Lytechinus pictus: one gene and its partners. The protein of the gene in region 3 purifies or fractionates together with the protein of the main gene of each other region. This does not show direct contact. Links are inferred from orthologs where the notes say so. Each region holds a gene or a part of one and is shown on either strand. Other genes may lie near its edges. The genes, in order: derlin-2-like, derlin-1-like and selenoprotein S-like.

What was found.
Region 1: the proteins of selenoprotein S-like (region 3) and derlin-2-like purify together in Homo sapiens (affinity purification with western blotting; 3 studies listed by BioGRID and IntAct, with this or other methods). This does not show direct contact. The link is inferred for Lytechinus pictus from reciprocal best matches to the Homo sapiens genes SELENOS and DERL2.
Region 2: the proteins of selenoprotein S-like (region 3) and derlin-1-like purify together in Homo sapiens (affinity purification with western blotting; 6 studies listed by BioGRID and IntAct, with this or other methods). This does not show direct contact. The link is inferred for Lytechinus pictus from reciprocal best matches to the Homo sapiens genes SELENOS and DERL1.

Annotation. Positions count from the first base shown.
Region 1 is NC_087246.1:9,526,091-9,536,960, forward strand, and holds the start of derlin-2-like, read right to left. Parts: upstream 4,676-10,870; 5' UTR 4,256-4,675; intron 2,470-4,255; exon of another isoform or gene 2,333-2,469; intron 1,349-2,332; 5' UTR 1,323-1,348; coding exon 1,236-1,322; intron 245-1,235; coding exon 179-244; intron 1-178.
Region 2 is NC_087246.1:25,968,952-25,980,264, reverse strand, and holds the start of derlin-1-like, read right to left. Parts: upstream 4,312-11,313; 5' UTR 4,218-4,311; coding exon of another isoform or gene 4,141-4,217; 5' UTR 3,810-4,140; coding exon 3,651-3,809; intron 3,045-3,650; coding exon 2,933-3,044; intron 2,319-2,932; coding exon 2,254-2,318; intron 1,340-2,253; coding exon 1,313-1,339; intron 818-1,312; coding exon 669-817; intron 173-668; coding exon 62-172; intron 1-61. Other genes in the region: TBC1 domain family member 31-like, read left to right, coding at 4,141-4,217, 8,354-8,509, 10,887-11,002. UniProt on the Homo sapiens protein: Functional component of endoplasmic reticulum-associated degradation (ERAD) for misfolded lumenal proteins. Forms homotetramers which encircle a large channel traversing the endoplasmic reticulum (ER) membrane.
Region 3 is NC_087252.1:1,384,710-1,395,726, forward strand, and holds the start of selenoprotein S-like, read right to left. Parts: upstream 5,277-11,017; 5' UTR 5,126-5,276; coding exon 5,044-5,125; intron 1-5,043. UniProt on the Homo sapiens protein: Involved in the degradation process of misfolded endoplasmic reticulum (ER) luminal proteins. Participates in the transfer of misfolded proteins from the ER to the cytosol, where they are destroyed by the proteasome in a ubiquitin-dependent manner.

The DNA of each region.
Region 1 (10,870 bases), on a different chromosome or scaffold from region 3:
TGATTGCTGTTAGCTGAAAATTTGTTTTGGATAGGAAAACTTCAGTCAAAAATGTAAAGCGAATAAAACAAGCTAATACAATTGAGAACAAAAGAAAAGCAGTTAATCAGAGTTTGTTAATAGTGAGACTATATAACAACATAACACCTTTGACAAGAATAAAATATATCTTTCTTACCTCAAAATGGTTAAAAATGAGATCAGGGTTGAAGTATAACTGAAATGGTGATAAAATATCCAGTTGCTGCCAAAGCAAGAACACAAAGAATACAGATTAATAGTAGTTAATTGTAGTAAATAAAATATCAATTCCCTGAACCACTATGGTTAAAAATCGTAACAAAATGGCCGATCGAGACTGGGGTAGAAGGAGAGAACTTTTCGTTTTTTGAGGTTCCAGTCTGTGCCCAGATGTCAGGAAACTGCCACTCGTTAGACCTTCATCCATATAATCGTGGTAATTGTATACTTTCTGTTTTCACAATTCATTTGGAGAAATATTTAGACCATAAATCACCCTAGTCCCGTGAGTATGGTCAAATACACGGTAAGCCCCTGGGCTCCAGCCCGCGCAGCGGGCGGGAGCTCCCTGGGTTAGGCAAGCACATGCTAAACACTGCAAATAGGTTTGATAGACAGATTTTTCAGTTTTGCCACTAGTGACAAATAAAATAAATCAAAACAAAAAATAATTTGATTTTGCTTTGACTTTTTTCCCCTAGAAATGTGTGATCCAGTTTTATGTTTGCCTGAAAAATGGTGTCTGGTATGAAATTTCATGTTTGTCCTTTATTCCAAAAATTTTCAGTTTTAAGTATATTGCAGAAAATGAGGGATTCTAATTTTTGTTTGACAAGTGCAATGTAATATGATGAAATAGGATACCAAAGAATACATTCAATTTAAAATTGAAACTGGTACTCATCTCCCCTCCTCCCCCCACCCCCCCAAAAAAAAAAAAAATACATAAGGGCTTGGGGTGATTTTGCCAATGAAAATGCTCAAGTGAGAGCCCTGAAAAATAGAAAAGAGCCCTGAAAAATCCCTATTCACTGTAATGTTAAAGCTTAAATGTTGCTGATTTAGATAGTAGGTTGTGAAAAGTAGCCCCAAAAAACTAAAAAAATTATATATTTTTTTTGGCCTGCTCCTCCCCCCCCCCCCCAAATAAGAATAAAGGGAAAATCAATAATGAATCAGAATTTCTAAACAAAGTTATGTATATGAATACGTACCACAGCTAATGTTGTGAGTACACATGATGTACAATATAGTCTTGTAATAGGAGGAGTCTGCATGTACTCCTGTTGAACGGTTTGCATTGCGATGTGTTTTTCTTAACCTTTACCTGAAAACAAACAGAAGAATTTAGATACAGATTTCACTAATTCAAAGTTAAGGAAATGATACAGGTACCTCTGCTTGAAAATAACTCTCTAACATTGTGAAGAAAAATAATGACGGTAAGAAAAGTAAATATCTATGGTCCCTGAAAGAAAGGAGATTAAATGATTAGAGACAATTAAAACATGGGTTATTTACAAAAAAATTACAAACACTGATTGTTATCTCTTCTAACAGGGCCTAAATCTACACAAGATAGTCTTACTGTCGAGGCCTCGAATATTTCATTCCATTATGTCACGTCACAAGAACATATTTTCGTCCATCACTGTTTATTGGACGCATTTTGTGTTTTTAATCTTTTGGATCCATCTCTCACATTTCAAAAGCAGAATTAAATGTCTCCTTATTATCATGAAAATTTGATTAAGGAGAAGTGGATGACACAAATTTTGCATGATGAAGATTTTGTCTTCCAAGAATAAGGGCGATTCCATTTGACATATGACATTATCCAAAAATTTATATTGGCTCTATTTTAAATCTGGATCAAAACTTTCTTTTATAACTCATATGGAAGTTCATAAATACAGAGGGTGATCATAATTAGCCCCCAAAAACAAAAAAAATCTTACACATCTTTCTTATAGGAGAATCTAAACTATCAAAATCTGAACTATCGAGATCTGATGCAAGTTATGCGAAACGATCCCGAACTATATAGTCCCATCATGAATTTTCTTGAATTGAGCTGCGATTTCCCCGCATGCGCAACTGCGATGTTTTAAAATCGGCAGTGAATTAATACGTGTGAGGAAACTGTTACTGGCTCTAAATCAACGATTTTGAGACTGATAGAAGCGTGGAAAAGTGAAACTTTGTGAAATGTAGGAATATTAGTTTTTATTGTTTTTAAAGGTTGTGTTGTTGCACGAGTTTCACGTTTTATACACATTAAATCACACCTTTGTCACTCGGAGTTTTGTACCTTGATGTTCGGGTAGGTGTAGCCTAGTGTAGCGGTAGTGAAGTGGAGCCTACCCTACACGAACATCACTGTGTCTGTGCACTAACACTCAACAGGCATGGCAACACCACTCACCAGACTTAAAGGGATACTCCAGGCTGAAAATTATATGATTTAAACAGATAGAGAAAAATGAGACAAACAAAACACTGAAAATTTGACCAAAACCGGACAAGGAATACCAAAGTTATGGCATTTTAAAGATTTACATTATTCTGGTGAAACAGTTCTCGGCATGTCATCATGAATATTCAATGAGCAAATTGATGATGTCATATCCCCACTTGTTCTTTTGTATTTTATTATATGAAATTAGGTTTATTAAAAACAAATTTACCAAGAACTTAAAAAAATTGGACAACTGATTTAGTGCATTAGATATTCATTGCTGCAACTATTTCATTATAAAGGAGACACATTATTCACACGTATGAAAAAATGAAACAATTATGATTTCATGTAATGACATAAGGAAAAGGGAAAGTGGGGATGTGACATCATCAGCCCACCTAATGAATATTCATGATGATGTGCATATAACTATTTTCACAAATTAATGGTTTACTTAAAAATTCAATAACTTTAAAGTCTTTATAATTTGTTATCTGATTTTGATGAAATTTTCAGCATTTTGCTCTGTGAATTTTACTCTATTTATTTATGGTGGTGTGTACTTAATTCGCAGTTTACCTGATTTTGTGCAGTCGAATATCTAATTAACATCTTGAAAAAGTGATATCACCAACAGAAAAAGCGACCCAAAATTACTCAGTATGATAATATTCTTGAAGGTCTCAAATTGTAAAGACATTGGCAAAACATTGGCGAATTTTGTTACTTTTAGCGTACGCTCCGAGAAAATCTAAACTTTTTGGCAAGCATCAAGAAATCGTCAGTTTGCAAGGAGAGGTCTCCAAATAAGTAAAATGTGATACCAACCAAATTTATGGCATTTTAACCTCCATCTGATATAATTATCTTACCTTTGTCTGCTTGATTACTTTTTTAAAGCTTTGCAAAACGATCGTGTGCAAATTAAGGTCACACTTTTTATGACACTTTTTCAGCCAAGTGCGCACTAGTCGATCGCCATGGAGTTTTGAGATCGCGATACGAGTGCAAACCTTGACCTACTTTATAATTCCATCAAGCGAATTTGACTTTGCCTTTGGGATCTTGCCTTCCATCTGGTATTTATGATTTTGATTAATTTTGTGTGAACTGTAATTTTTAGATTGAAAACCAACTTTTTTTTCAAAATGTGCCAAATCATGGTCAGCCACATCATGACATAGAGTCCAGATTATATCTAGATCTGGATCCAACGTTAGATATTCTCAGCCCAGACCATCCCAATTACTAAAAAGTAATTGAAGCAAAGTTAGACTCATTATTTGATTCGTGTCTCTCTTTCATAATACTCGGCTCAGGTCTAGTCTAGCTACGTCTAAGGCTAAGCTCAGTCTCAACTCAACTCAGTCACAGGCACACATAGACCAAAAGCTTCGGTCTCTGTTATGTTGGTTGTTCAGCTGAACTCCGTTGGCTTCACTCTAAAAAAAAAAAAAAGTTTAAAAACTCCTCGAAACGGACGGCTGCCAGCTGTCTAAGGCACACAGTGACTGTCTTGTCATGGTTGCCTAACTAACTGATGAAGTATGGAAGTTGATTGAACTTCATTCAACTGTTCATGAATCAACTGAGTGGAGAATCGACTCTGAAACTGATAGTGATACGGTGAACATGGACTGGAGTCTTGGACCATGGTGAAAAACTGAAACAAAAAGCAAAACAATTAGCCTATGTTGTTAATCGCAGTCATATTCATAGTTAATGTTGAAAGACGAAACAGAGCTCTACATTAATAACGTTAGATCAACTTACAATTTTAAACTGGACTACTACTGGCACTGGCTTGAATTTGGAGTTTTGTTTAAACTCTAAACTAGGCCTAAATAAAATTCAGTCGGCGTAGCTAGCTTGTTAACACAGCACAGAAGTAGGCTAGGCCTTAAGTCTCGTACACACACGTCAGCTTTACGCAGCTGATCCAAATCGGTGAAGTAAGCAATTCAATTAATCACCTTGCTCGAAAGTGATAAGTGTCCGTCTGAGCACATTTAATGATTAATGATACTTCACTTACGGTACATAGTTACAAAATTTAAGAAATCGAATAAAAAATAAATAAATACAAATTAAAAAAAAAAAGGCTGACAAAAGTTTCTTATATATTTTTTTGAAGAATACAAGCACGGAACATTTTTTTCCCTTTAGTGAATACTTGCAGGTACAATAAATGACAGAGCACGTTCAGATACGGAAGACCTCCACGGAAATTCCGTGATAGTCCAGGATAGAAGGGGTCGAACCTTGTTTTTTTATATATACAATGTTTTTTTATGGTTTCTTGTCAATTCGAGGGTGCTGATTCCGAATCTGAATGATGCCACTCGTGTAACCTTGAGCATTTTCTGCAAATTGGCAAAATCCAATATGGCCGCCAAAATATTCAAATTACCCATGAAAATTATAAAATTGTCCACACATTGGCTTTAAAGTACATGCAATTGTGCTGCCGGAGTGAAATAATATCTGAAAAAATGATTTGTGTCAAAATATTTATTTTCTTGATATCAAAATGGCCGCCATCATAGACCCCTGTACAATATGAATGAGGAAAATTAATTTTTACAAAATTGAGCACTGAAATGCAAGTAATTATGATCTATGAGTGAAGCAATGTCTGTAAACATGATTGCTAACGATATATATCATTTGTTATGTCAGTTATGTGATAAATCCTGTATTTTGATATTCAAAATGGCCTTCAAAAGCCCTAACACTATTATGTACAATGGTGACACAAAAAAATCACAAGAGTGAGCACTAAAATGCATTTTGTTGAGATAAACGAGTGGAATACTGACTAAAAACATTTTTGTTAACGAAATTTATCATTTAACATGCCATGTATGTGATAAACCCTGTATTCTGATATTTAATATGACCGCCAAAGGCCCTAAAATTATGATCTACGATGTGAGAGAGGACAAAAACAATCACAAGGTGAGCACTAAAACGTATTTTTTGTGGTAAATTAGTGGAATACTGTCTTCAAATATAATTTGCAACGAAATATATTATTCGGGTTTCATATTTGTGTTAAATATTGTATTTTGACTTTCAAAATGGCCGCTAAAAGACATTGACTGTATTATGTACAATCGATCTGGGAAACCAATTTTCACATGAGTCAGCACCATAACATGCATATAATTGTGATTTAAGAGTAAAATATTGTCTGAAAACATAATTCCTAACAAGATATATCATTCATTCTGCCAGGTAGGTGATAAATAATGTATTTTGAAAGTCAAAATGGCCGCTACAGGCCCTAACAGTAGGCCTATTATGTACTTTGTGAATGGGAACATATAATTTTAACAGAATTTGGCTTTGCTTGACTAAATGGTGTTGCATGTATGAGTGAAATATCGTCTGAAAATATGATTTTGTAACCAAATAGATCATTTCTTATGTTATTTAGGTGATAAATGCTATATTTAAATGTCAAAATGGCTGCAATATGTTTCTTTGTGGAAATTATCTTTCCCCAATCAAATTTTACATATTAAGATAAGGGACTACGGCGGCCATTTTTCATTTTTAAAAGGCTGCATTCATCACCTTTATGACACAAGCTATGATATATTTCGTTAGAAATCATTGGGTTTAGACAATACTTAAAGATAAATTCCAGTTTTGGTAACGATCTAAAAATGACTTTTTACAGAATCTAATATAATGACCACCTAAGTGTCTGTTTGTATGAATAAAAAATATGTGCCAAAGGATTCTGGAAGAAATTGTGTGATTGCTGAGAAATAAGCAAAATAAGCGCGGATTCGGTCACTTCCGTCGGGTCTTTATTTTAGCAATAATAATACACTGTCCCACGTGTGCCTATCTGTGTTGGTGATCTTCAGTGTGAACATTTTTCAGCGTAGATTTCAAGATTTCAAAAAGTTCAGTTTATGTAACTGTACCAGATCTAGATCCTCGATGATATACTGACAATTAAGCCTTGTTTTTACAGACTTTCTCATGAAATCAGTGTTTACTGCAAATACTGGAATTTCTCTTTAACACTTACATCAAAATTAAGCCATTTTCATAGTAAAAATTTTGTCAAAATTATCTGTCCCCAGTTACAATGTACATACTACTTTGGGCTATGGCAGCAATTTTGAATTTCAAAGTAAGGCCTTTATTACCTTCTCAACCATTATGTGATGTATTTAGTCAGAAATCATGTTCAAGACCAAATTTTACCGATACATCACATAGTTACGTGCGTTTTTGGTTCTCATTCTGGTGATGATTAGTTTCCCTATACGCATGTTACAGAATTTGTAGGGGCTTGTGCGGCCGTTTTGAAAGTCAAAATACAGTATTTATCACCTATGGGAGAGGAAATGTTATATTTCATTAAAAAAATCACGTTTTCAAACAATATTTTCCTTATACAACATAATTATATGGATTTCATAGTCAGGCAAATCCTAATTCTTTCAAAAGTATTTGTCCCCATTTACATTGTAGATAATACTGTAAGGGCCCATAGGGGCCATTTTGAATTTTACAATACAGCATTCATCTCATGCATGAAAAATGAAATGATATGTTTCGCCAGAAATCATGTGTTTAGACAATATTTCACTCGTATAGATTACAATTGCATTCATTTTATTGTTTTTACTCTTGTGAAAATTAGTTTCTTCATTCGCTTTGTTCATAATACAGATAGGGCCTATGGCAGCCATTTTGAATGTCAACATGCAGCATAATTACCGAAATTGCAAGGGAAATGATATGTTTCGTTAGAAATCCTTGTTGTCAGACGGTGTTACACCAATATTTCGCAGTTATTGGCATTTTAAAGTCAAACAAATTCAAAGGTTGTGAAAATTATATGTCCCCTTTTATATATTGTACACAGTATAAGGGGTCTATGACAGCCATTTTGAATATCATAATACAGCATTTATCACATTAGATAGTATACAAATGACATAGTTTTGTTAATAGTCATGTTTTCAGACAGTAGTCCACTCGCAGGTCACAATCACATGCAATAATAGTGCTCTTGTTTGAAAAAATATTTTGCCCATTCATATTCTACATAATAAAGTATACAGGGGTTATGGCGGCCATTTTGAATATCAATAAAATAAATATTTTGTCAAATATCGCTTTTCCAATTGGTATTTCACTTCTGCACAACAACTACATGCATTTTATAGCTAATGTGTTGGCAATTTTATGATTTTCATGGGTAATTTGCATATTTTGGCGGCCATATTGGATTTTGCCAATTTGCGGAAAATGCTCAAGGTTACAAGAGTGGCATCATTCAGATTCGGAATCAGCACCCTCGAATTGACAAGAAACCATAAAAAAACATTGTATATCTAAAAAAACAAGGTTCGACCCCTTGTCTATGGGGCCTATCCTGGACTATGAAGACCTCGAGTGACCCCTCAGTATTCCTTTAATGGGCAATATAGCTTATAATGAGCCAGAAGTTTTAATTAAGAGGGCAGATATGGCAGATGGGCAATTAAAAAAAGAGTTGGTACCTTCTTAATACATACATATAATTTTGCGATAGATTTTGGTATAATATTTAGAAAATAATATCATTAAAAAAAGCATATTTCACCCCCGGATTTCTGACCCCCTTTTTCTTGTCTTTTTTTCAACCCTGTTCCACAATTTGGGATTGTGAAAAAAAACGGGGTCCATGGCCCAAAGTCACACCAGATTCCTATTGATCGAAGGAAATCTTAAGAATATTGGAGATCCTCAGAGTGGACAGATTCACTTCTAATGTTTTATTTAAAGACCTAGTGGGCCAATAATTCGAACGAAAATCAGACTTATGTAGGCCTCAGTACAGTTTAATGATCCATTAAGGTCCTACTTTTCTTACGATTTATGAGCCTACGCATGAAATAAATAAATAAATAAAAATATACAAAAAAATAAACAACCAAATTAAACACTGAAAAAGCACCCTCCTCTTTAACATACTCCTGTGAAGAAATCAAAGTTTATTCATATAGGCCACCGATATAGTCCAGGATAGAAGGGGTCGAACCTTGTTTTTTTTATATATACAATGTTTTTTTATGGTTTCTTGTCAATTCGAGGGTGCTGATTCCGAATCTGAATGATGCCACTCGTGTAACCTTGAGCATTTTCTGCAAATTGGCAAAATCCAATATGGCCGCCAAAATATTCAAATTACCCATGAAAATCATAAAATTGTCCACACATTGGCTTTAAAGTACATGCAATTATGCTGCCGGAGTGAAATAATATCTGAAAAAATGAATTTTGTCAAAATATTTATTTTCTTGATATCAAAATGGCCGCCATCATAGACCCCTGTACAATATGAATGGGGAAAATTAATTTTTACAAAATTGAGCACAGAAATGCAAGTAATTATGATCTATGAGTGAAGCAATGTCTGTAAACATGATTGCTAACGATATATATCATTTGTTATGTCAGTTATGTGATAAATCCTGTATTTTGATATTCAAAATGGCCTTCAAAAGCCCTAACACTATTATGTACAATGTGAATGGTGACACACAAAAAATCACAAGAGTGAGCACTAAAATGCATTTTGTTGAGATAAACGAGTGGAATACTGACTAAAAACATAATTGTTAACGAAATTTATTAATTACATACATGCCATGTATGTGATAAACCCTGTATTTTGATATTTAATATGACCGCCAAAGGCCCTAAAATTATGATCTACGATGTGAGAGAGGACAAAAGCAATCACAAGGTGAGCACTAAAACGTATTTTTTTGTGGTAAATTAGTGGAATACTGTCTTCAAATATAATTTGCAACGAAATATATTATTCGGGTTTCATATTTGTGTTAAATATTGTATTTTGACTTTCAAAATGGCCGCCAAAAACATTGACTGTATTATGTACAATCGATCTGGGAAACCAATTTTCACATGATTCAGCACCATAACATGCATACAATTGTGATTTAAGAATAAAATATTGTCTGAAAACATAATTCCTAACAAGATATATCATTCATTCTGCCAGGTAGGTGATAAATAATGTATTTTGAAAGTCAAAATGGCCGCTACAGGCCCTAACGGTAGGCCTATTATGTACTTTGTGAATGGAAACATATAATTTTAACAGAATTTGGCTTTGCTTGACTAAATGGTGTTGCATGTATGAGTGAAATATCGTCTGAAAATATGATTTTGTAACCAAATAGATAATTTCTTATGTTATTTAGGTGATAAATGCTATATTTAAATTTCAAAATGGCTGCAATATGTTTCTTTGTGGAAATTATCTTTCCCCATTCAAATTTTACATATTAAGATAAGGGACTATGGCGGCCATTTTTCATTTTAAAAGGCTGCATTCATCACCTTTATGACACAAGCTATGATATATTTCGTTAGAAATCATTGGGTTTAGACAATACTTAACACTTACATCAAAATTCAGCCATTTTCATAGTAAAAATTTTGTCAAAATTATCTGTCCCCAGTTACAATGTACATACTACTTTGGGCTATGGCAGCAATTTTGAATTTCAAAGTAAGTCCTTTATTACCTTCTCAACCATTATGTGATGTATTTAGTCAGAAATCATGTTCAAGACCAAATTTTACCTATACATCACATAGTTACGTGCGCTTTTGGTTCTCATTCTGGTGATGATTAGTTTCCCTATACGCATGTTACAGAATTTATAAGGGCTTGTGCGGCCGTTTTGAAAGTCAAAATACAGTATTTATCACCTATGGGAGAGGAAATGTTATATTTCATAAAAAAATCACGTTTTCAAACAATATTTTCCTTATACAACAGAATTATATGGATTTCATAGTCAGGCAAATCCTAATTCTTTCAAAAGTATTTGTCCCCATTTACATTGTAGATAATACTGTAAGGGCCCATAGGGGCCATTTTGAATTTTACAATACAGCATTTATCTCATGCATGAAAAATGAAATGATATGTTTCGCCAGAAATCATGTGTTTAGACAATATTTCACTCGTATAGATTACAATTACATTCATTTATTGTTTTTACTCTTGTGAAAATTAGTTTCTTCATTCGCTTTGTTCATAATAGAGATAGGGCCTATGGCAGCCATTTTGAATGTCAACATGCAGCATTATTACCGAAATTGCAAGGGAAATGATATGTTTCGTTAAAAATCCTTGTTGTCAGACAGTGTTACACCAATATTTCGCAGTTATTGGCATTTTAAAGTCAAACAAATTCAAAGGTTGTGAAAATTATTTGTCCCCTTTTATATATTGTACACAGTATAAGGGGTCTATGACAGCCATTTTGAATATCATAATACAGCATTTATCACATTAGATAGTATACAAATGACATAGTTTTGTTAATAGTCATGTTT
Region 2 (11,313 bases), on a different chromosome or scaffold from region 3:
AGAAGCACACAAAACTCATCTCTGCAAGTGTGGGTAACAAATGAGAGGTTTCATTACTTACAAGATTTGAGGAGTAGAGAGAAAAGCGGTTCCACCAAAGTCTTGAGGATACTTGAACATGAGAAAGAAGTAAAGATGACCAACCACAATACCAATCAGCTCAGCTAGTCCACTGTAGGAAGGACAAAAATTTCTTACAGTCATATTTGAAGAAAAAAAATATTTGATAAAGCTGGGATGGAAATACATAGCAAAACTTGAAAATATAATATAAAATAATCAGACATTAACAATGATAGCCTATTTAATTGATATGGAGACACAAGACATGTACAAAACATCTCTGAAAATTTGATTGATAATAATGAGGATTATTGCACATTCAGTTTGAAATTCAAGGAATTATTCAGAAAGGTGTCTCCCCATTTACAATCATGTTGTTCATGATAAGTGCAAGGATTTGTAATGACAATATGCTTGCAAAATTACTGTGTGGAAAGGCTTCGACTTTTAGTAAGGTGCATTAGTATCATATATGCTTTTTGATAGGTTCCTCATTATTTTACTTTGTAATACAGTGAATGTGATTATTGTCATTATGTTCTTATTTGCTCAAGATGTATGTTTTTGTGGAATGTGAAACAATAAATCAAATTAAATCATCTTACCCTCCTCTGAGGATCCAATTGAAAGCAACAAGAACCCAGGGAAGATACATAGCCTTGAATCTAGTACCAAACCAGAATGAAACTATCGAATCACGGTTGAGCTGACACCACACATAGAGGACGCTAAGAATCATCGGCTCCATTAGCATCTAAAAGTATGAGAAAGAAGCATGAAATTAGCAGAAATAGATCCCTACCGTACCTGTAAGGCTGATCACAAACAAAATTGTCACACACTCTCACTTCAAACAAGGGTTTGCTCAGTGTAAAAATAGTAACAGCAGTCAATGGTAATATTTTCAGTTCACCATTTAAAAGCTTACTACTTGAATTTTTATTTCTTGTATAGAATGAAATACAATGCAATTTCCAATGGATTTTGGGAGAACATTTGAGTATATTCAATGGAAATGATATGTTAAGGATTTGATTGAGAATCTGAGAACATTCTGAAAATTTGTAAATATCACTATTGGATAAAAATCAAAGAAAATTATGAAGATTAAAGAAATCAACATAGGCTTTTTAACAAATTTATATTTTTTTCAAAGACAATGGATTCTGAAATGATATTCATTTATAAAACAAAATATATCATGTTCCATGTAAATGATAAAACATACAAAGAGAAAATATTGACTTACCAATAAAGGTGCTATAAACCCAATGATCTAGTCAAATAAATGATGGTTAAGAAAGAATAATTAACAACAAGATCACTATAGTATTTAAAGTCTTTTCCCCTTTTCATTCCGTGTACTGCGAGTGAATTCACTTTCATCTTTCACATAAAATTAAATGTGAACTTTTGTGAAGAAATGCCGAATGTGGGTCAATTATAAAGTAAAGAATGCTCAATACAAGTCTACAGTGGTGCGAGAAAGTTAGTGAACCCCAACACAAAATGCACTCCTTCATGCTGAATGTTGACAACAACACTACAATGGTTGGCCTGCCCAGAGAAACTAACTTTATTGAATGTAATATCTTATCATCTGACTTCAAAATTTAATATCTAAAACATGGCAGAATTTGAACATGTTCATTTTCTGGTGGGGTTTACAAACTTTTTGGCACCACTGCCACACTCACAGTAAGCTAAATTGACGCCTGTTGTCATGGTTAAGTACGCTATTTTATTCATGAGTCCAATGTTTTGAATCGATGAGTCCACTCTTCATAACAGTGGAATCATGAATAAATTGGCGTACTTAACCAGGGCAAAAGGCGTTGAATTGTTGCACTGTGACAAAAGTGCACATCAGCATTGGACATCTTGTTAATATATGAGGTAAATAAGCCTAATTTATACAGGAAATCTACAAAAACCATGGGTTCAACGGATGGTTTTCAAAACCACCTTGTAAATTCGGGCCTTAGTGTCTAAGAAATCTTTAAAATTTTACCACCGAATAATCTTTCTAAAAACTATTGCTTAAAATTCCAGATACCTACATAAACCACACTACAAAGAATTTTCATATTGAATTGTAAAATGCAAGAATACAATATTAATTCTATTTCTAATACATTTTGCGAAAAATAGAGAGTATCATGCCATTGTCGGTAGCATAGAAAAGGATACAACAAGGCAAATCCAGTTGAATATTAACATGAAAACATAGTCTGCTGGTCGGCCATCAAAAATGCCTGAATTGAAAAAAAGAGAAAAGATTGAGAAGGCTTTAATAGGTCAACATGTGAATGTCTAGAACAAATAAAATGTTCAATGTAGGCCTGAAGGTTAAAATAAGAAACAGGCCTGAAATTATGATATTATAAATAATATGGCAAGGCCACTTCCTATTTTTTTAAGGGAATATTTTACAAATACATTAGTACAGTAGTCAGTACAAATTATCGGAAAATATTATACATGTTAGGGTATTTAGGCCAATATCATAAGGGCATCGATCCCAGGCCATTGCCTTGGATCAATTTGAGCCCTGTTTACATCCTGGATAAAAAAAATGAATTTGAAAGGATGACAAATTTCAAATCATTTACAATGCAGATTCGTAAATTATGCACGAAATGGTTATATCTGTATTTTTCCACACATCATACATTTGTTGTTTTTAACATCTTCATATTTTATCATTTAGCTTCTGCTTTATACTTGACTATATTAAGGAAACATTCAAACCATGTCTAACATTTTCAAGCATTTATATGCCAAGATATTTAATAATGAAGAAATGCTTGGTCCTTGGAAACTGATCAAAAGTGCAACAACAATCTTATTCTGGCGTTATTTGACAAACCTGATTCTAATCTTGTTGAGTAGCTGTATAAAAAGTAAAGCTGAATTAGGTAGTGAAATCCAGTCATTGGAGTGATTGGAAAGAAGAAAACTGCTGTTATTGGCCTCCATATCTATACCAGAAACATGAAAGAAATAAAGAGATATTAATGAGTCACTCTTCTTGGGAAAAAAAGGTTATCGGTGGTAATCACCCACTCATAATATTTCAGAATAAACATTCACCTGCAATACCTCGACAAATATCATTGAAATCCGAGTCAAAATGGTGGGAAAATCTGAGTCAAAACGGTGGGAAAATAAATGAATTTCAGAAATTCACACATACATGTAGGGTCTGGCCTCATAAAAAAAAAATGCAGCCTTTCTCATCAATCCGTGAATTTGCAAAGCTAAAGTTAACTGGGTGCGCACTTCAAGAAAATGATATTTCTCTAATTGTCTCAATCTTTTTTGTGAACTTTTTGGCACACTTACTCAAAAGAATATAAGGAAAATTATCAAATTAAAATCTTATGGAATCATTAGACCCTTTCATTGAAATTTGTGCACACATGCATTGTCGATGCGACAGCGACAGTGCAGGGATTCATACTTTTTAACTGTTTTAATTAAATGTTGTTACCTCAAAACCCATTTGTACACCCCCGGCCCAGCACACACACAAACACAACTAAAATACTGGGGGACGTGTCCACAGAAAATTAACACCATCTTACTTGAAATCTGTAGAAAACCAGTTCAAAGCTCAGGATTAATAATTTCATGCTAACCAGCCCAAATCGGGCTATGAGTGGGACTACAATAGAACCAGTGAACCAATAACGAGTTATTTGCGGAATTCCGCGATACCAGTCCCCTATATCACTTTGAGACATTATTGGAGAGTACTCTGGCGATCTAAAAATGAAGTATCACTATCAGTCTTGAAAATCCTACTGCAAAGTGCCAGAGAAATGTCTGTCATTTATTCCAAATCGATGCCAGTCAAGATTGTATTTCCCAAGCAATTCGACGTGTACTTAATATTGATTCGCTGCTCCTCTAAAATTATCAATCGATGCAGATGTTACGTTTTATATATATGCTGGAGTTATCAATTATGATATACCGAGGATCAGCGAACGCGCTAACTTCAAATGTAGTAGACTAGACTAGCATCAACTTCGTTGGAACAATATTTAAAACAAAGGAGACATTCTAGACAATATGCAACATCTCGATCTAGATAGAAGAGGCTCAGGGAAAATATGGCATCGAAAACCCAATCCATCAAGTGACAATGGGTAAGATTTTTGCGCAAACTGATGGTAGTTGAACGCGATCGCGATAAGATTCTACTCCACTCGACTAGCGACTCGACTCAAACAAGTCTCACGGACAGCTCAGCAAGGAGCTCCACCCACGCCCCCGAAGCTTCGGCGGCGCTTGCGCTCAAGATTCTGGACCCGGTGTCGTGGTGGGGAAAGGGGCGGTGCGGTGATTATTAATATGACAGACACAGTCACAGACAGTCTCAAACACACAGCCAGGAATTAGACAGAGTTTAAGATATATTTTGTTGAAATTATAATTTTGGAAACTAGAAACTACTGGTACATGTAGTCTCACTCACACAAGCATGCGAGGACGAGGTTAGTTGTACTAGTATTACTAATATTACTAACCTCGCACAACGCATGTCATTTCATTATGAATTTTGACGTTTTCATTCATCACACGAATGTGAGAGAATGAAACACGCCAAAATCTTCACAATATACTAAATTTATTCATCTAAATCTTATCATTTAATTTAATTTTAAAATGGTGCTCGAACGTATTTATAAAAAGGGATTTTAAACGCTTACCTCCAAATCTATGCCAAGACACTCCGTCCGATCCTTAATACTGCGGTGGAAATTACACAAACAACCATCGAAACGCGAATTTTTCCTATCGAACAGTCTAGATTCAAGTCGTCGGCGCGTAATAGGAAATTGTACCAAAAAATCAACAGGTTGCATCTCACGTATAATCGCTGATGGCGCTACATCATAAAATAACGCTGAACAGCGAAAAAAATTGCGGAGCGCCAAGAACGCAACCAGCAGTACAGCTGATCTGACGTAAACGACGTAAACAAGCAAGTTTATTAAATAATATCGCGCGCCCTCTCTGTGCGTATAGAGAAAACCAGGGGTGGTATTCTGAAAACGTTCTTATCTTTGTTCTTATCTTTTATCTTATCTCATTGAGATAAGAAGACGTTAAAATCATTGCAAATCGGTATTCTGAAAATCTTCTTAACGCGTTCTTATCTCTGTAAGGACTGCCTCCTTCTTATCTTCAACACACCCATTTTTAGGATATTACCAATCAAAATGCGCTTTATATTGTCAGTTTAACCAATAGAAGCGTTCCTTATGTCAAGAGAATAACATGGGCACTGCGCGTACACTGTTTCTGGCGCATTGCGCGAAATAGGCATTTTATACGCAATGACTGATTATTATTTCGAGACACGTGCACAATAACGATAGAAAGAAAGAAAGAAAGAAAGAAAGAAAGAAAGAAAGAAAGAAAGAAAGAAAGAAAGAAAGAAAGAAAGAAAGAAAGAAAGAAAGAAAGAAAGAAAGAAAGAAAGAAAGAAAGAAAGAAAGAAAGAAAGAAAGAAAGAAAGAAAGAAAGAAAGAAAGAAAGAAAGAAAGAAAGAAAGAAAGAAAGAAAGAAAGAAAGAAAGAAAGAAAGAAAGAAAGAAAAAGAAAGAAAGAAAGAAAGAAAGAAAGGGAGGGAGGAAGGATGGAAGAAAGAAAGTAAGTAAAGAAAAAAAAGTAAATAAAGCAGGTACGAATAAAGAATAAAACAGGAAGAAAGAAAGTAAGTAGATAAGAAAGGAGACAGAAAAGGGTCAGAACAAAGTAGAAAAAAATGAAAGAATAAACGAAAGAAAGCAAGCAAAAAGAACTTAAATGAAGAAAAGGAAAGAAAGAAACTTAAAGAAAAAAAAAGGACAAAAAGAGATTAAAATGATAAAATGAAGGAATAAAGAACTGAAAAAAAAAACAGAAAAAACGAGTGAAAGAAAAAAAGAAAGAGAAAAAGAAGGAATACAAAAATGTAAAAGGTGAAGAAAGAGAGAAAAAGGAAAATGAAACAATGAAAGAGAAATAAAAGCAAAAATAAAGACTAAAGAAAGAAATCGAAAGAAAGGTTAATTCAAAGAAAGAAAGACAAATAACGAAAAGGGAAAATAAAAAAGGAAGAAAGATGAATAATAAATTAAGCAAAGTAAAATAAACATAAGGAAGAGATTAAAAAATTCAAAAGAATAAAGCAAAAGATATAAATGAAGAATGAAAGAAAGGAAGATAGACAGATAGAAAGGGAGAAAAAATGAAAATAGATAAAGAAAGACAAAAGGATAGAAAAAAAGGTGAAAAACAAAATAAAGGGTGGATGAAAGAAATGATGGAAAGAATACATGTTATTACCAGTGGTCATCTTTTTTTAGCAAGAAAGAACGCGAACATCGTGAGATGTGATAACCCTCTAGCTATCTTAAATATTATCATAGATATCGTAAAAGATAAGAAAGATAAAAGATAAGAACGTTTTCAGAATACCACTTATCTTTATTTTGTTCTTATCTTTTTAGCGCGCTTTTGTATTATGCGCGTGTACTAAATTTACGCGCTCAGCATAGGATGGAAAGCAAGATAAGATAAGATAAGAACAAAAGATAAGAAAAAGATAAGAACGTTTTCAGAATACCAATTTGAGAACGTGACGTAGATAAGAACAAAATTAAGATAAGAACGTTTTCAGAATACCGCCCCAGCAAATTAGCTCCATGCCTGCTTCGACATCAAGAAAATCATTGATATACATGTAAAGTACCAGAAAGACAGAGAGGAAATGAAATTGGCTTCATATCGTTTGGTACTGAAAGTTTCATATCCAAAGCTTACTTGATTTAAAATGTAGATATTTTTCTAATTTTTACAAAAGAGGAATAAACTTATTGCAAGTGCCGTGCCAGTGGTTATCCTGTGCACGGCGGCGGTAATGTACCCGTGGGTGATGTAGTCTAGTCTATCAAGAATATGAAGAAAAATTCTCTTGACTTTGAAAGATTGTTTTCAGTTGATGCCAAACTAGAACATTAATATCTTCAAGTTCAAGTAAGACTAGATGCCGAGTTCTGGCTGGACCAAGCAAAATTATAATTAGACAGCTGGCAGCCGTCTCTTTCGAGGAGTTTTTTAACATTTTAATATTTTTTTTAATTTCTCCTCGTACACCGCTATCGTGCACTCAAGGGTTCATTACATGCCGCCGCACACAGAAAAATCAAGCCATAGATGTCGTGTGTTGTGGACACCAGAAGTGGGGTCGCAGCACGCGCGGCCCACTAGTTAGAAATCCACTGCCAAATGCGGTACATGGTGCGAGGTAATAGTATAGTAATACTAACCTCGCAATACGTGTGAGTGGCTATCGTGCAGCCACCATTAGGGGGTTAACAATGCAAAATCCACCGACGGGGCTCATCGATTTTTGTCTTTATTTCATAAAAATATATAAAAAGAACTGTACCAAAATAAAGATTATTTATAAAGTTTATTTTTCCAAAATAAAGATTAATATTCCGTTTTGGCCTGAAATGCACCAAAACGGAATATTAATCTTTATTTTGGAAAAATAAACTTAAAAGGAGAAAAAACAGTGACTTATTTCGGCTGTCGCGCAACTTCACTTCCCTGTTTTATCCAAACTTAATACATAAACATATGGCCATTGAGTCCCTGTATAGATGGAGCTAGAACTTCGGTCTCTGTATTTGGTGAGTGGAGCCAACGGAGTTCAGCGGAACAACCAACATAACAGAGACCTAAGCTTTTGGTCTAAATTATAATATGACTTATTAGTTCATTCTCACTTAATAAATACAATTTATACATTTTATACCAATGGATAAGCCAAGATTAAGTTATTGAATCATTCATGTTTCAGTTATTTATGATTTTGTGGTCCTTTTCTTGACGTGAAAAAAAAATTATATCAGCCTTTAACCAAAATTTACCAGGCAGGTTTTGAACTCTTGCTATATCTTTGATGCCCAACAAATCCATCTTAATGTTGATCAATTTTTTTTTAGTTGAAAACAGTAACACCTAAACATAATTAAGTTTAATATCAATGATTTGATAACTTATTCTTAGCTTATTTATTGTTATACCGTACAGTCACTATACCTATATTTTTTTAAGGAAGTATTATTTTATTTTTTTTGCTTGGCAAAAATTGGTATAGCCTATTCTTGTCTCACATGTAGACATTCATTTTAGTAGATCTACATGTACATGTAGCGGGGGTATGCACTGTTTGCTGAAAGGCCCGAATTTGAAATAAGAATGTCTTGATTGTGTTTATTTGTTAGGTTGATGGTTCAGATTGGCAAGGAATCTTCTGCAGCACTCAAGTTTCAAGGTCATGCCATCCGTTTCTTGCAGGCTGGGTTTGATGCCAGTGGAGATAGGTTCATAGCTGGAGATCATCAAGGAAATATATATGTCTTTGATCTCCATAGAAACAGGTAATTAAAGGTCAAGTCCACCCCAAGAAAATGCTGACTTGAAAAAATAGAGAAAAATCAAACTTGCATAGTGCTGAAAATTTCATCGAAAATCGGATGTAAAATAAGAAAGTTATGAAATTTTAAAGTTTCGCTTATTTTTCACAAAAGAGTGATATGCACAACTAGGTGAGTCAGTCGATGATGTCCATCACTCACTATTTCTTTTGTTTTTTATTGTTTGAATTATACAATATTTCATTTTTTTTTAGATTTGACAATATGGACCAACTTGACTGAACCATATATTATTAAACAATGTTATTCCACATGTTCAGGGAGGAATTAATCGTTGTATCCCTTGACAATGAGGAGAAAATTAGAATATTTCATATAATAAAATACAACGAAATAGTGAGTGGATGACGTCATAGTCTCCTCGTTTGCATACCGGCCAGGATGTGCATATAACTTTTGTGAAATTAAGCATAACTTTAAAATGTCATAACTTTCTTATTTTACATCCGATTTTGATGAAATTTTCAGTGTTGTGTTTGTTGGATTTTTTTTAATCCAAATCATTTTTTGTTGGGGTGGAATTGTCCTTTAAATGAATAGTCTTATGTGACATGCTATTGTCAGATTTAATAAATTTCTGTTTAAATGTTAACATTTCAAGTAGAGGGGTCAGATATTTATAGTATACATTAGTCCAGATTGGATGTTGATGTATGGAAGCTTTCTTTCCCATTTCGCAAAGCTGGCACATAGGGTCACCTGACTCCCAGTCTCTATTCAATCCGGTACCAAACCCTCATCTCCCCTCCTTACTGGGTTTGAGGATTGGGAGTCAAAGACGCCCTCTATGTCAGCTTTAGGAAAGAGAGCTTCCATACATCAGTATGCAATCTGGTCTAAGTAGTGAGTATACGTAAAACAAGTTGTTCACTCATGATATCAGGTGATTACTGTAAGCGTTTTTTCTTTTTATTGAGACAGTCTACATTGTACATAACAGCTTTAGTCCACTCTTCATTCCTTGTCTGTTTTCCTCACCGCATAGGGACGCCTATGGGCAGGGATATGCATTATACAAGCACCATCATATTCATTGTGTTTTTATTTTGACTATTTGAGATTGATTATCCTTTTTTTAAGTTTTAATACTGTCATTTAAGTTGTCAATTGACGAATACTCACAGGGCCAAGTTCACATCTTCATTAGATGAAAGGGAGAAAAGGAAGTTATACAGATTAGAAATCAACTAAGGGGGACACCGTGTAGACCCAGCAGAAATCTCTGACATCAGAGAACATTTTCACATCATCCATGTCGATAAGCAAATTATAGCTCTATAAGTTGGTCTTTTACCATATTTCATCCATTAATGAATACTTTGTTGTGCTGGGTGATGGTGATATTTTGATATTATCAAAATCCTACGATATTGTAAAGATATTGAATATTTGATAATAGTTTTGTGATTATGTTGATATAGCGCAGTATTAAACACGATGTGACCCAAATTCTGTTGACTATGAAATTAATGCTTAATCCCTGGCAACTTATCATGCTTATTGACAATAAATACTGCTCTGTAGTCTGTATTGTTTTGAAACAACTCAGAACCTCATAAGTTGGTACCCAAATGTTAGTTTATCATGGACAAGCGGGAGGAGAGTCCTGCGGGTCACAGTTCTGTGTGCGCGCCCTTCTAGGCGACCCAGATTCGCTGGCTCCTACAAAAATGCGCCTTTGAATGTCTTTGACAGATATATGGCGCTATACAAATGCTGTGCATCATCATTATCATCATCAAGCTTCAATGAAAGCCCTATTTTCATTTCTCCCTTTCCTGTCCTATTAGGATTTTTACATCTCATAATGAACGCACATGTAGATAATGAATTTTCAGATTCGGCGATATAATGTGTGTTATCACCGAAAGTTTGCTAGTGACAATCAACTAACATAGAAATCAATATCAACCAACACTACTTTTTTGCCTTTCAGCTGATGTGATGAAAAATATATGATATAATGTACGGTAATTTAAAAAATATTCTGAGTGAATTTGAAAGTGCTAGGCCAGCTCTTTAGAATGAGTTTCTTTCACTCATGTCTAGACTGAATCCCAAACAGGGTACCATTGCATAAAAGATTTATTGTAACCTTGCCATTCAATTGTAATTATTATGGTAACAATGCTCAACAACCAATCAAAATCAAGAATTCCATGAAATTTCCATTGGACAGCAAAATTAAAGTTATGGTTAGGGCAATGTTTATGTTGTGGAAAGAGTTGCAATCAACTCTTGGGCAGAGCTGCAGGGTCACCTCAATTTGAGTCACTGAAACAAATCATGATTTTATTTCCTGTCGAAACTGTTCCCACAGATTCCAACTGGTACAAAAGTTAGGAGTTTCATGTACTGCTATAGCCTTCACGCTAAGACGTAAAACAGAGTATTTAGTTGCACTCTCAGACTGCTCACTGAAATGTTATGACACAGGTAGGAATTTAATCTTTGTATAACTTCTAATCGGATAATTATTATTGGGTTCTGAGGAAATCATTTACATGTGCAGACTACAGAAACATGATTTTACAAATAATTTCATAGTACCACTGTAGCTTTGCTGAATGATTTGATTGCATACTGGTAATGAGACAACGGTCAATATTCTAATAATATTAGTTATAAATTATTGCAGTCAATAAATGAGAAAGTATTAAGTTTTCTGGAAAGCCTCCCCCAAGCATATGTTTTTGCCATCTTGATTTGCATCTAACCCATTCATCATGAAATGATTAATCTTAATA
Region 3 (11,017 bases):
GATTACTTATTTCAAAGTATTTTTACCTAACTCCCCAACTCTGCTCTAGCTGCACTGCACGTTGCCCAACGGCCTTCCACCAAAGGGCCAGGCCGACTCGCCCCGCGAGCAAGTGACCGCGTTCGCGTAAGTTCACCCGAAGCCATGACTAAATTCTGACCATAAACATCACCTAACTAATCACTCTCTGACAATATTTCAAAGTATCTTTTATTACAGTCGATCATTTGGGCCATTAAACGATAATATTTCCAATGTTATCATGACAAACAATTTTAATGAGATAGTGGCATTGTAGAAAAAACAAATTTATAAGCACGAAATGGCACCAGATATATCATCAGACATACAGCGCAGCGTTCGGGACTGGTGAGTGGTACGGCTCGCTTGGAGTTTTCGCCCCGACGAATTCAGCGAAAACGTTACCATTGCGCCGTGCGAATGTTCAATCTACGGCTCTCAATCAGAGACTTGAATGTCTCTTTTCGCATTATCTAAAATGTATCATAGACTTTGTTTGATTTGTTTACAAGTAAGTTGCATATCCGTCGTGATAATTAGGAAAATCCACAATGTCTTCTTCTAATTCTGTAAAAATTACGTCTTCAAAGTGCCTGTGTGTCAGAAAATTGCAGAAAATCGTAAAAACTTGCCTAAAATTTCTCTTTTTGAAAGTTCATCCATGGTCTGGAAATTTTGTTTATAACTTATGTAGACTTATACCGTGAACAAATGCATCCTCAATCACTGAAATGAAGTATTTGCTAAGATATTTTATCTCAGGCTGCGTTACCATGGCAACTTGGAAAAATCCTTATTTTTTAAGAATAAAATTCTGGTTTTAAGGGTCATTTTAGAGACATAAAACTTACCCTATTTTGAAGTATTGGGTTTAAATTTCACATAAAACTGAATTATCTATGTTTATACTTTCGTATATGAATATTCATATTTCTTGTAGAATCTTAGTTTTTGATTGGTCAATGTTTCAGTCACGGCTAATGACTGAGTGTAAAAAAATCTGAAAATGCGCATTTTATCGGCAACCAACAAGCAAGATGGCGGAACACATTAAGTTGGCGCTATGCACGTACGTGGCTTAGAGGCAATTTTGAAAATTTGAGGTATATAAATCATTATTATTATTATTACACATGAGTCCGCAACAACCCGCATTACTGCAGAACACTTTACAGACTTCTGATAAAGTATTAAGCACTATATACGCAAGTACAATTATTGTTAGTATTATGAATTTCAAGATAACCCAGTGCAAAAAAATAAAAAAATAAGGGATAATCTATCAATTTTTTTTTTTTTGGGGGGGGGAGAAGTAGGGCAATTCTATGCAATAATCAACTCTTTGTAAATCTTTCTCCCATAATTTTCCCATCCCAGTTTAGCTTGTACAGAGCTTTTTCCAAAAAAAATTCAAGAATGGAATCTTCTTCATCTTTTTGCTCTAATTTGTTCCAATACACCTCTCCTCTCAGTTTGAGTATCCTTTTTTTCCTTTTTATCCTTCTTCTCTTGTCTTTCCGTTAATGCCCACTATGGCATATGCAAGGCTCGACATTAGCGGTGGCCCGGTGGCCCGGGGCCACCAAAAATTCACCTCGGGCAACCATTATTGATAAAATGTTAAGTTTTGGTGGCCCGAATCGGGCAACCAATAATTTTCAAAGTAGCACAATTTTTCTCCCAATTTTGCACGCATTTATCAACTTTCTACAGCTCAAATTGCAAGCCAGTTCGTCATGCGCCTTTTTTGTTGATCTACACACAAATACACACACACACAGTTTGCATATTAGGCCTACAGCTATAGCATACAGTAGCTATTATCCAGCCAGCCGCGCCAGCCGGCTGGCGTGAGCTTTGCATGAAGCCACTGCATACAGCTGTGCTCTAGATCTAGCTCAGCCTATTCAGACTCAGGGAGCTGCGATAAAAAATGTTGCTGCTGAGAAATCTTCCACAGAACTTTGAAAATCTAAGTCAAAGTCACCTTTTACACCAATGAAATGAAATTCTACAGTCTATATTACGAAAATATGGTGTACCCTGATTATTTGCAAGTATTAAGAAGAGGAATTATGACCTCTCTTTTGACTCAAAAAGACCGATTTCCACATGAATTAATACACATAAAAACACATAGGCAAGTACATCACAGTCCCACGTGTGCATTTGTATGTATGTTGATACTTGGTTTCTTTCGAAGCTGTGTATTTTCTAGCCTTAAACAAACAGACAGTTTCTTTCTTTCTTGTTTATAAATGACTTCTTAAACCACTCTTGAGAAAGTAAATACTTTGGGAAGGCATTTCATTGATATGAAATGTGATTTTTTTCCCAACATTTTGGCAAATATAGGGAAGGACTTTTCTCACACTTTTTTTCCAATATAGTTTTTGCCGTTTTCTTTTTTTTTCTTTCATTTTTTTTGACAGTGGTTAAACCATTTATACCCCTTCCCATTGAATATGCCTGATTAAAAAATATGTTTCTACTGAAAATAAAATAATACAAACTAAAGGATATAAAAATAGAAATGTGCCATTCCCAAGAGGTAAGTGAAAATTATATGCTTGGCTTTTAATTATATTCCAGTCAGAATAGACTGTTGCCACAGCTGTTAAAAATATATGTAATGGCTTCTTAATTTTCCCCTTTTCCCCATTTTTATATTAACTTTGTTTTATTAATTTTTCTTTAATTTTCTTTTCTTTTTTCTCTCTAATTTTTTTTCTTTTCTTTTTTTCTTTTTTTCCCTGTTCTTTGTTTTTTTCTTTCTTCATTTTCTTTCTTTTGTTTTATTTCACTAATTCCTTTTATTATTTTTGTTTTCTTTTTGTTATATACTTTTTGAAAATTATTTTCGTTTGTTTCTCCCTTTTATGCATTGTTCTAATTTTGCAGCATATTTTTCTGTGATTTTCTCCTTCTATATGCTGCAAAAGAGAAAACAGAAATAAACTGGATTTGGGGCATGCATAATCTAGGTTTTAGGATTCAAAGAGGAAGGAAGGAAAAACCATTGTTTTGTACATCTAACTGAGTTTGCTATGCACTATTTATTTACTTTACCATTATCTCTATACAGAGATTTTTAAAAAAGTCCACACAACCTGCGAACAATACAATTCATTTATTCACTTTCAATCATTTCATTTTTACAACGATAGAAACAATTATCAATTAGCAAAGTAAAATAACCGCAAACAAGGTTTACATACAAGATGTATAAAGTGAAAGGAACTTAGTCAGTGGTAGTGGCTGCAGAATTAATATTTCAGAAGTTTGTTTTATTCATTTTTAATGTTTTTCTTTATATTTTTCGGGCCACCAAACTTTAATATCGGGCCACCAAAAAAAATTATTTGATGGTTTTGGTGGCCCGAACGGGCCACCACCAAAAAAAGTTAATGTGGAGCCTTGGCATATGAACGTCAAGATTGACTTGACCTGAATTTTACCAGGACCGGCAGGGTGAACACCCTACTCTTTGATGAATAGTGTATTGGTTTTAACGTGCATAGGTTGTGACTCTCCTATACACGGGACCAACATTTGCGTCCTATCTGATGGATGGAGTGTTTTCCAACTGCATTCACACCTGCACTGAATACAGTGGTGAGGCACGCTTACACCTAATGCTATACATGTAGCTTCAGATTTTTTGTTAGACGCGTTTCGGCATGAGCGGGACTCGAACCCCTCACGTTGAGATCTACGATGTTATCCGAAACATGCGTTCTAACCGACTGAGCTACGCTGCCCGTTTCCCTAAAGTTATATTTTCTTCTTTCTCTTCCTCAGCTGCCTCTCCTCTTCTTCTTGCTCCTTCAATCTGTTGACCCTCTAGATCTAGTCATGGGTGTCAGCAAAGAGGATCATCTTTTTTTTTTGGGGGGGACATCTATTGTTGTGTCCCCCAAAACAAAATATAATCCTGCCTCTACTCTTCTTTTTTCTTTGTCCCCATAATATGCCTTGACAAATCCAGAGTCCTTCTCTTAGTTAGTACATGTAGATCTAGATCTACTATACTTTTCATTATTCCTTCCTGATTCAAGATCCTCCTGATCCTCTTCCTACTTCTCTTCTTCTCCACCTTATCTTCCTCCTATCATCTTTCTTTCTCGATCTTTCCCAATCTAGCTGCATTTATTTTAAGAAACAGCTGAGCAAAAAACATGCTCATTAAAAGAAGTATATTGCGGCAGCGATTGCATGAATATGGCCTGCATGTATGTCTATAGACAGGGATAACCGTTGTTTCTGGGGATTTCCTCAACAATTTCTGACATTGGACAGTGGAGCCAACGTAACTGGGGTAGAAGGAGAGAACTTTTCGTTTTTTTGAGCTCCCTGGGTTAGGCCTTATCCTGAAATAAGTCACCTCTCTTCTCATGTGTGTGTCAGTGAAGAAAGCTTCGACAGAAGTCACCGCCGCTGACGAAACAAACGGCAGTGAAAGGAGTGGTGACTTAAACCACGATAATGCCATTATTTACAACACAACTTACACAAGACAAAAGATCTTCTCCCCCCCCCCCCATGGCCATGCCTTTGCCGAACTCGGATTTACCTTCACCTTTCTCCTCAATTCTCAGACTCAGTCTTACGCCACTCATTCAATGAACAAGGTATGATCTCACGCTCGCTCTTGCTCCTGTATTTTTAGCCTACAAGGCTACAAATACAATGCTACATGTACATTTTGAAACTAACTTCATCTTTCTAACAAATTCAGGTCAAATACAATGGAAATGGGCATGCAGGGGGCATGGGTCTGGAAATCATACTGGAAATTTTGATTTCTCAACATGTCATGACCCCCCCAAAAAAGGCAACATGGAAATTCATGAACGTCATGATTCATTGTTCGTGTTCAGTGCACAGTGTTCATGGTGTTCTGCTGTTTGTTCTGTGAGTGTGAGTGTGAATGTGATTGTGTTCGTCATGTTCGTGTTAAACTTATGAAAATTAGTCAAAACAGGCTAAACATGGCTAAATATTCCTATTCCTACATATTACCTGTTGACAGTCCATATGAGACACTCTCTGGTGTCGTGTTCCCATCTTCTGTCAGCTCACGATCTTCAAAAATCTCCGACATGTTGGCTCAGTCTCAGCCTCAGGTCCTTTGCATGGCAGACTCGACTCGACTCACTCGACTCACAGCAACACTGCTAGCATGCACGCATATAATATGTGAGCTAGCTGATCATGCAATCAACAATCTCGAATGTTGTTTACATGACGTGTGGAAACTGAACCACAACCTCGGTACCGGGATTCGGTCATTGTGCAGCCCTTGTGCTTTTATTTCATGATGATCATGATGATGGGGGCTATATATATAGAGGCGGGGGTCGGTCGCAACAAAGGGGGCTGTGGACAGTTACCCCACCCCAGACATTTTGAAAACTTACAATTTTGACTGAAAATTTCCACAAAATTCACCAAAAAGGGTAATACAATGACAATATCCTTCAATTATTTTAACTCTCTTTAAAAATGCAAAAGTGCCCCAATTCTTTGCTACCCCGCATATTAATTTTTTTTTTTTCTTCAAAGTTGTTAATGCGTCCCCTCCCCCCGGAGAAAAGTTCTGCTTACAGCCATGGGGGTATGGCAAGCAAGGAAAATGGTCTTTTGTTTTCTATGTATATGCTTATGGGTAATTATTCAAGTGAAACAAAACTAGAAGTTCTTGAGACAGGTAGTCTTGACTGCACGGGGGGGGGGGGGGGGGGGGCAAGAGCAGGTTGACTGTATAGAGATGGGATTCAACTCTCTTTGAGCTTGCTCATATAAATTTGATTTATTCACAGAGGCCTTTGAATGGTTTAAAAGTATGGGTTAAGCCAAAAGGGAGGGGGAGGGTTTATTTTATGTTTTGTACACATTTATTGGAATAGTGGGGGTTGAATCCCCCCACCCCCCCCCCCCGAATTTCTTCAGCCTATTTTTCAATCATGGAGTGGACAATTAAAAGCCACATACTACAAATTAACAAAATTTGATTGATCATATTGGAGCGTCATTTTTTCTCCTTTTCTCCTCCTCCACCCCCTTGTCCTCCTCTCTCTCCCCCTCCTCTCTTCATCTCCCCCACTCTTCTCTTTCTCTCTCTCTCTTCCTCGCTTAATCTGAGCTATTTTCTCAAGATAATCACTCACTATCATCCCCATTTATTCTCTTTTTTGCCCATCACATTGCTTGTGCTCACATTCATTTTTTTTCCAAAACATTGAATAATAGATTGTTAAATGGTGCAATGTGACAATAACATGCCCCCCCCCCTGTTTAATGGACAGAACAATTTAGGTATGTGATGTGCAATCTAAAGTACACATTCAAAGACACTTGGATAAGTTACAAAGTGTATGTTCTCTTGTGCAAAGGATTGTCAGAGAGAGACGGACAGAGCAAGAGAGTCATAAAGTAAATCACATCGCTGAAACTGAAGAGGTATTGAGGGAGAAAACTGAGAAAAAATGAAGAAAAAGAATACAAACAGAAAATGGGAAATTATAAGGAAAAAGGGGAGAAAAGAAATAGATTAAACAGTGGGTACGTAACATCATCTCCCACAGATCACACGTCTTGAGGAAACAAATGAAATTTCATTAAGCTCTTTTTCTACTTCAGATTAAAATGGATTTTTCAGTGTTATGTTCGACTCTCCTGTATTCATTCATATCAGCTTTTTGCTGGGGAGGGGGGGGGGGTGGATTTGACCTTAAAGGAAACCAAAACCCAAGAGAAGCAAACTTATTGGAAAGAGTAAAATGAGAGGAAAAAATCCAAACAAGTCTTATCAAAATCGGTTGTGAAATAAGGAAGTTATGGACGTTTGAAAGGTCTTGTTTTACTTTCTATGGGGATCCTCAAATTGGCAAACATGCTTCAAAATGGCTGATTTTGTGGACAACTCTCCATTTGTTTTGTACACAATTTTTCAGATTTTCCCCATTATCTTAAAAATTGCATATTGCCTTATTCTGAGCATAATATATGTCATGGGAAAATATAATTCACTCCACATATGTCAAGGTCAGGAGGAATTGTTGTGAAATATGTAAAATAATGGGGGAAAATCTGAAAATTTGTGTACAAAACAAATGGAGGGTTGTCCACAAAAGCAATTTTGAAGCATGTTTGCCAGTTTGAGGATACCCATAGGAAGTACAACAAGACTTTTTAAACGTCCATAACTTGCCTATTTCATAACCGATTTTGATGAAACTTGTTTTAAATTGCTCCTCTCATTTTACTCTTTCGAATAAGATTTCTTCCCTTCTTGGGTTTGGGTTTGCTTTAAGTGCACAGTGCAACACCATATATACTGTATACAACAAAACACATGATACACCACAATACAAGACTCACAGTAATGCATTTTCATATAGATATTTATATATACAAATATTTTTTTTTTATTTCAGCATTTGTGATCTAGAGAATTCAATAACAAATATATATCCATTTTACGCCTTATAAATAATGCATTATCAATATTTGGCTATCTTGAAAAAAAAAGAACAATTTTGCATTTTCGACCAGACGCGGCAATTGTGGAACAGACATGTCTCATAATACGATAAGTTATCTAGTTTTATATAGAAGACTTCACACAGTACTCAAACACAATTAAAAACATACATTTACCTTCATAAATCACTGGAAATTGACATTTTAGGAAGAGGAAAGATGAAATCATTCGTATAATCAGGGACTACTAAAGCACAAGTGCATAAATACTAATTCACTGGGCAAACACACACAGTGATGGAACAAAGTTTTTCATGAGTTTGGGGTTCATTCTTCAATATATTTTATACACCAGTAATCACAATGTGATTCTCATAAAAGAATTCCCCATGAAAACATGAAACCGCTACATGCTACCATATTCAGAAGTTGTGTCAGCGCAAGAATGCCATTAACACTATCGCGCATCGTATGCGCACAGAAACACCCTTAGCAGCATGCTTTAGTGCATTGCATAAGGGCATTTCTGCACCGATACGGTGAGCGAAAATGTTTTTGCTAAGGGCCTTCTTGCACCGACATGAAGAAGTGTAAAGACCGACTTCCAAGTGCAATAACAAGTGATATTGATCAGGGCCTGTACTACAAACAATAGCTATTGATCACAAGATTGATTATCATAATTGATTACATATAATAATCACTATAATCAAGATTATGATTAATCTATGTTGTGTGATACTTAGCCCTGACAGTGTTGAATGAATGAATGACATACATAGGACTACACATACGGAATTGATAAATAGAGCATTGCCTTTTAAAAGTTCATTTTCAAACTGAGACATCTTTAACAACTACAATTTCCCCTGACAATAAGATCACTACTATACAATGTTATGGCACCAAAATTTCCATCACACTTTCCCATATAAATAGGATAAAATAAAGATATACCCCTGACAAGAAGAAATATTATATGATATTATCATTTATGTAATTATTATCAATTTCAAAATGAAGAAATACAAGTTCATTGCCTATGGTTTACAAAGGAATAATGGTACACAATCCAAAGCAGAAACCATTTTTTTTTCTTTTTAGAATCATTTTAAGAAAGGCATCCAGTTTCAGTGAAAAGGAGAGCAATAATTTCAAAGGTTTATCTTTCCAGTATTATTTGAAAAAAAAACATCAATTTAGGTATTTTTCAATTAGGACATCGGCATTTCATCAACATTTTCCTTCTGACAACTTTCCTTGATTTCGATTGGCTGAGGAGCAATGTTACCATGGTAACTGTCGGATAAAATGCCTGACTTTCATGAAATGCTCAACAGATGTTCATTGCTAGATTCAGAACAGATATATGAATTGAACTCCTGGTTCTAGATCAACATAATGATTACGCTTTAATAGGTTATGAATACGATCCTGGTATATATTCTTATCATTAGGGGGTGGGGTAGGGTGGGGCAGGGCAGTGGGAGGGGATATAATGGTTCAAAAGCAACATGCAAAAACAATTTTTGCTGTAAAGGGGGTAAAAAAGAGAGAGCGGTTTTCCCTTATTACAAGCCCATTTCAATGGCAAATAATTTTCTGATACTCTGTAAAACAAACCTGACACAGTATTCACCACTGAAACAAATATGTTTACAGCATGGCCACAAACACATCTCTTTTCCAATAAAATTACAATCCTAACCTTATAATTCATAATATATGTCCAGATGTTATGATAAAAGGGTAATGCACATGGGCCTATGATAGGACTCATTGGAATTCAGTTTGCCTTTTAAGGTGAATGGGGATGAAACTACATGTAGTATAAGAGGGGAAAAGAGTACAATGTACACAGCATATCTTCAACCCTTAATAAAGGCAAAAGATGGAAATTACTACATTTAAGTAAATCTTTACAGTACACAAAGGTAAATAAAGCATTATTCATTCAATTATTTATACTATTTTTTTTTTTCAAATTCACATGCTGTTCTTTGGTAATTTGAGTACCCACTGTATATGACCATGTACATAATATCTTGGCTAGTTTTCAATTCTATTAAAATCAATTAAAAAATACTTCTAACTTTCTATGAGATTATCAAATTTGTTTATATTTGGTATTAAGTTCAAAGTCAATAATTCATATTTATTGGAGGGGGCAGGACCTATCACATGATAAAACAAAGTTCAACAGGTAGTGCAGAAAAGAACACATGTGCATATTGAACCAAAGAGTGGCATTAATTAACAATAATCCATAAAATCATTTGTGGATCAGAAATACATGCATCTGATAGGTTAAACACACAGTTGTGACTGGTTTCAAGTTGGTTTGATTGCAACTTGCTACAATCAATCTGTTTGCTAGACATGCTTGCCAATTTAAATTGATGAAAAGGTAAGAAAATAATGTAAGCCCTTTCGCACACAAAAATAAGATGGTTTTGTACGACTGGAATTATATTGCAAACATTGGAATTATCACCTTTGTCTGAATAGAGGTATCCTTACAAGACTATTTTTTTTTTAAATATCTATCTCCCTGTATAGGGTGTTTTTAAACATATACCATCTTCACCAATTATCCATGTAAAATAAGGTCGATATTCAATATAATCCTGTTCCAACGAGGTAATAGTGAACCTTACCAATGGTTTATGGATAAAACTGTCACATTGTTTAAAGTGGATAAATGTAAGCATTTTCTGTCAGAATCCAATTTGCATAAAATGGTTGCTATATTGGCAAGCACTGGCATGCTCGTAGATTATGGATAATGTTTGTTCAAAATGTACACAGACAAGTTAACAGGTTTATGACATAGGCATTCAATGGAGAAGAGTGTTCAAACCAGAAAATACTGATTTTAAGTTTGGTGTTGGTGCCACGAACACAAAATAAGGGAGGTGCATGAAATCTCAACCAAAATTGTGTTTGACAAAAAAAATGACACCATTCATGTTAATCAACAGCTCAACACTGAGTGATATAAACACCGTGATCAGTCCAAGATTGGTGTTATGAATGGTGTTTGCATTTCCTTCACACCCACTTTGTGTTCAGCAAAATGGCACCACTCGTGTATTAACAGCTCAACACCGAGTAATGGTAATATAAACACCCAAATTATTCCAAGTTTGGTGTTATGTGTGGTGTTTGCATTTCCTTCACACCCAGTTTGCATTTAGAAAACCGCACCACTCATGTATTGACAGCTCAACACTGAGTAATGGTAATATAAACACCCAAATTATTCCAAGTTTGGTGTTATGTGTGGTGTTTGCATTTCCTTCACACCCAGTTTGCATTTAGAAAACCGCACCACTCATGTATTGACAGCTAAACACTGAGTTATGGTAATAAAAACACCCAAAGTATTCCAAGTCTGGTGTTATGTACAGTAATTGCTTTTCCCTAATACCATTATCAATACCAACTTTTAACACTAGTCTCCAACACTGAAATTAAAATAATGAAGTGTACATTGAATATGAGAAGTACA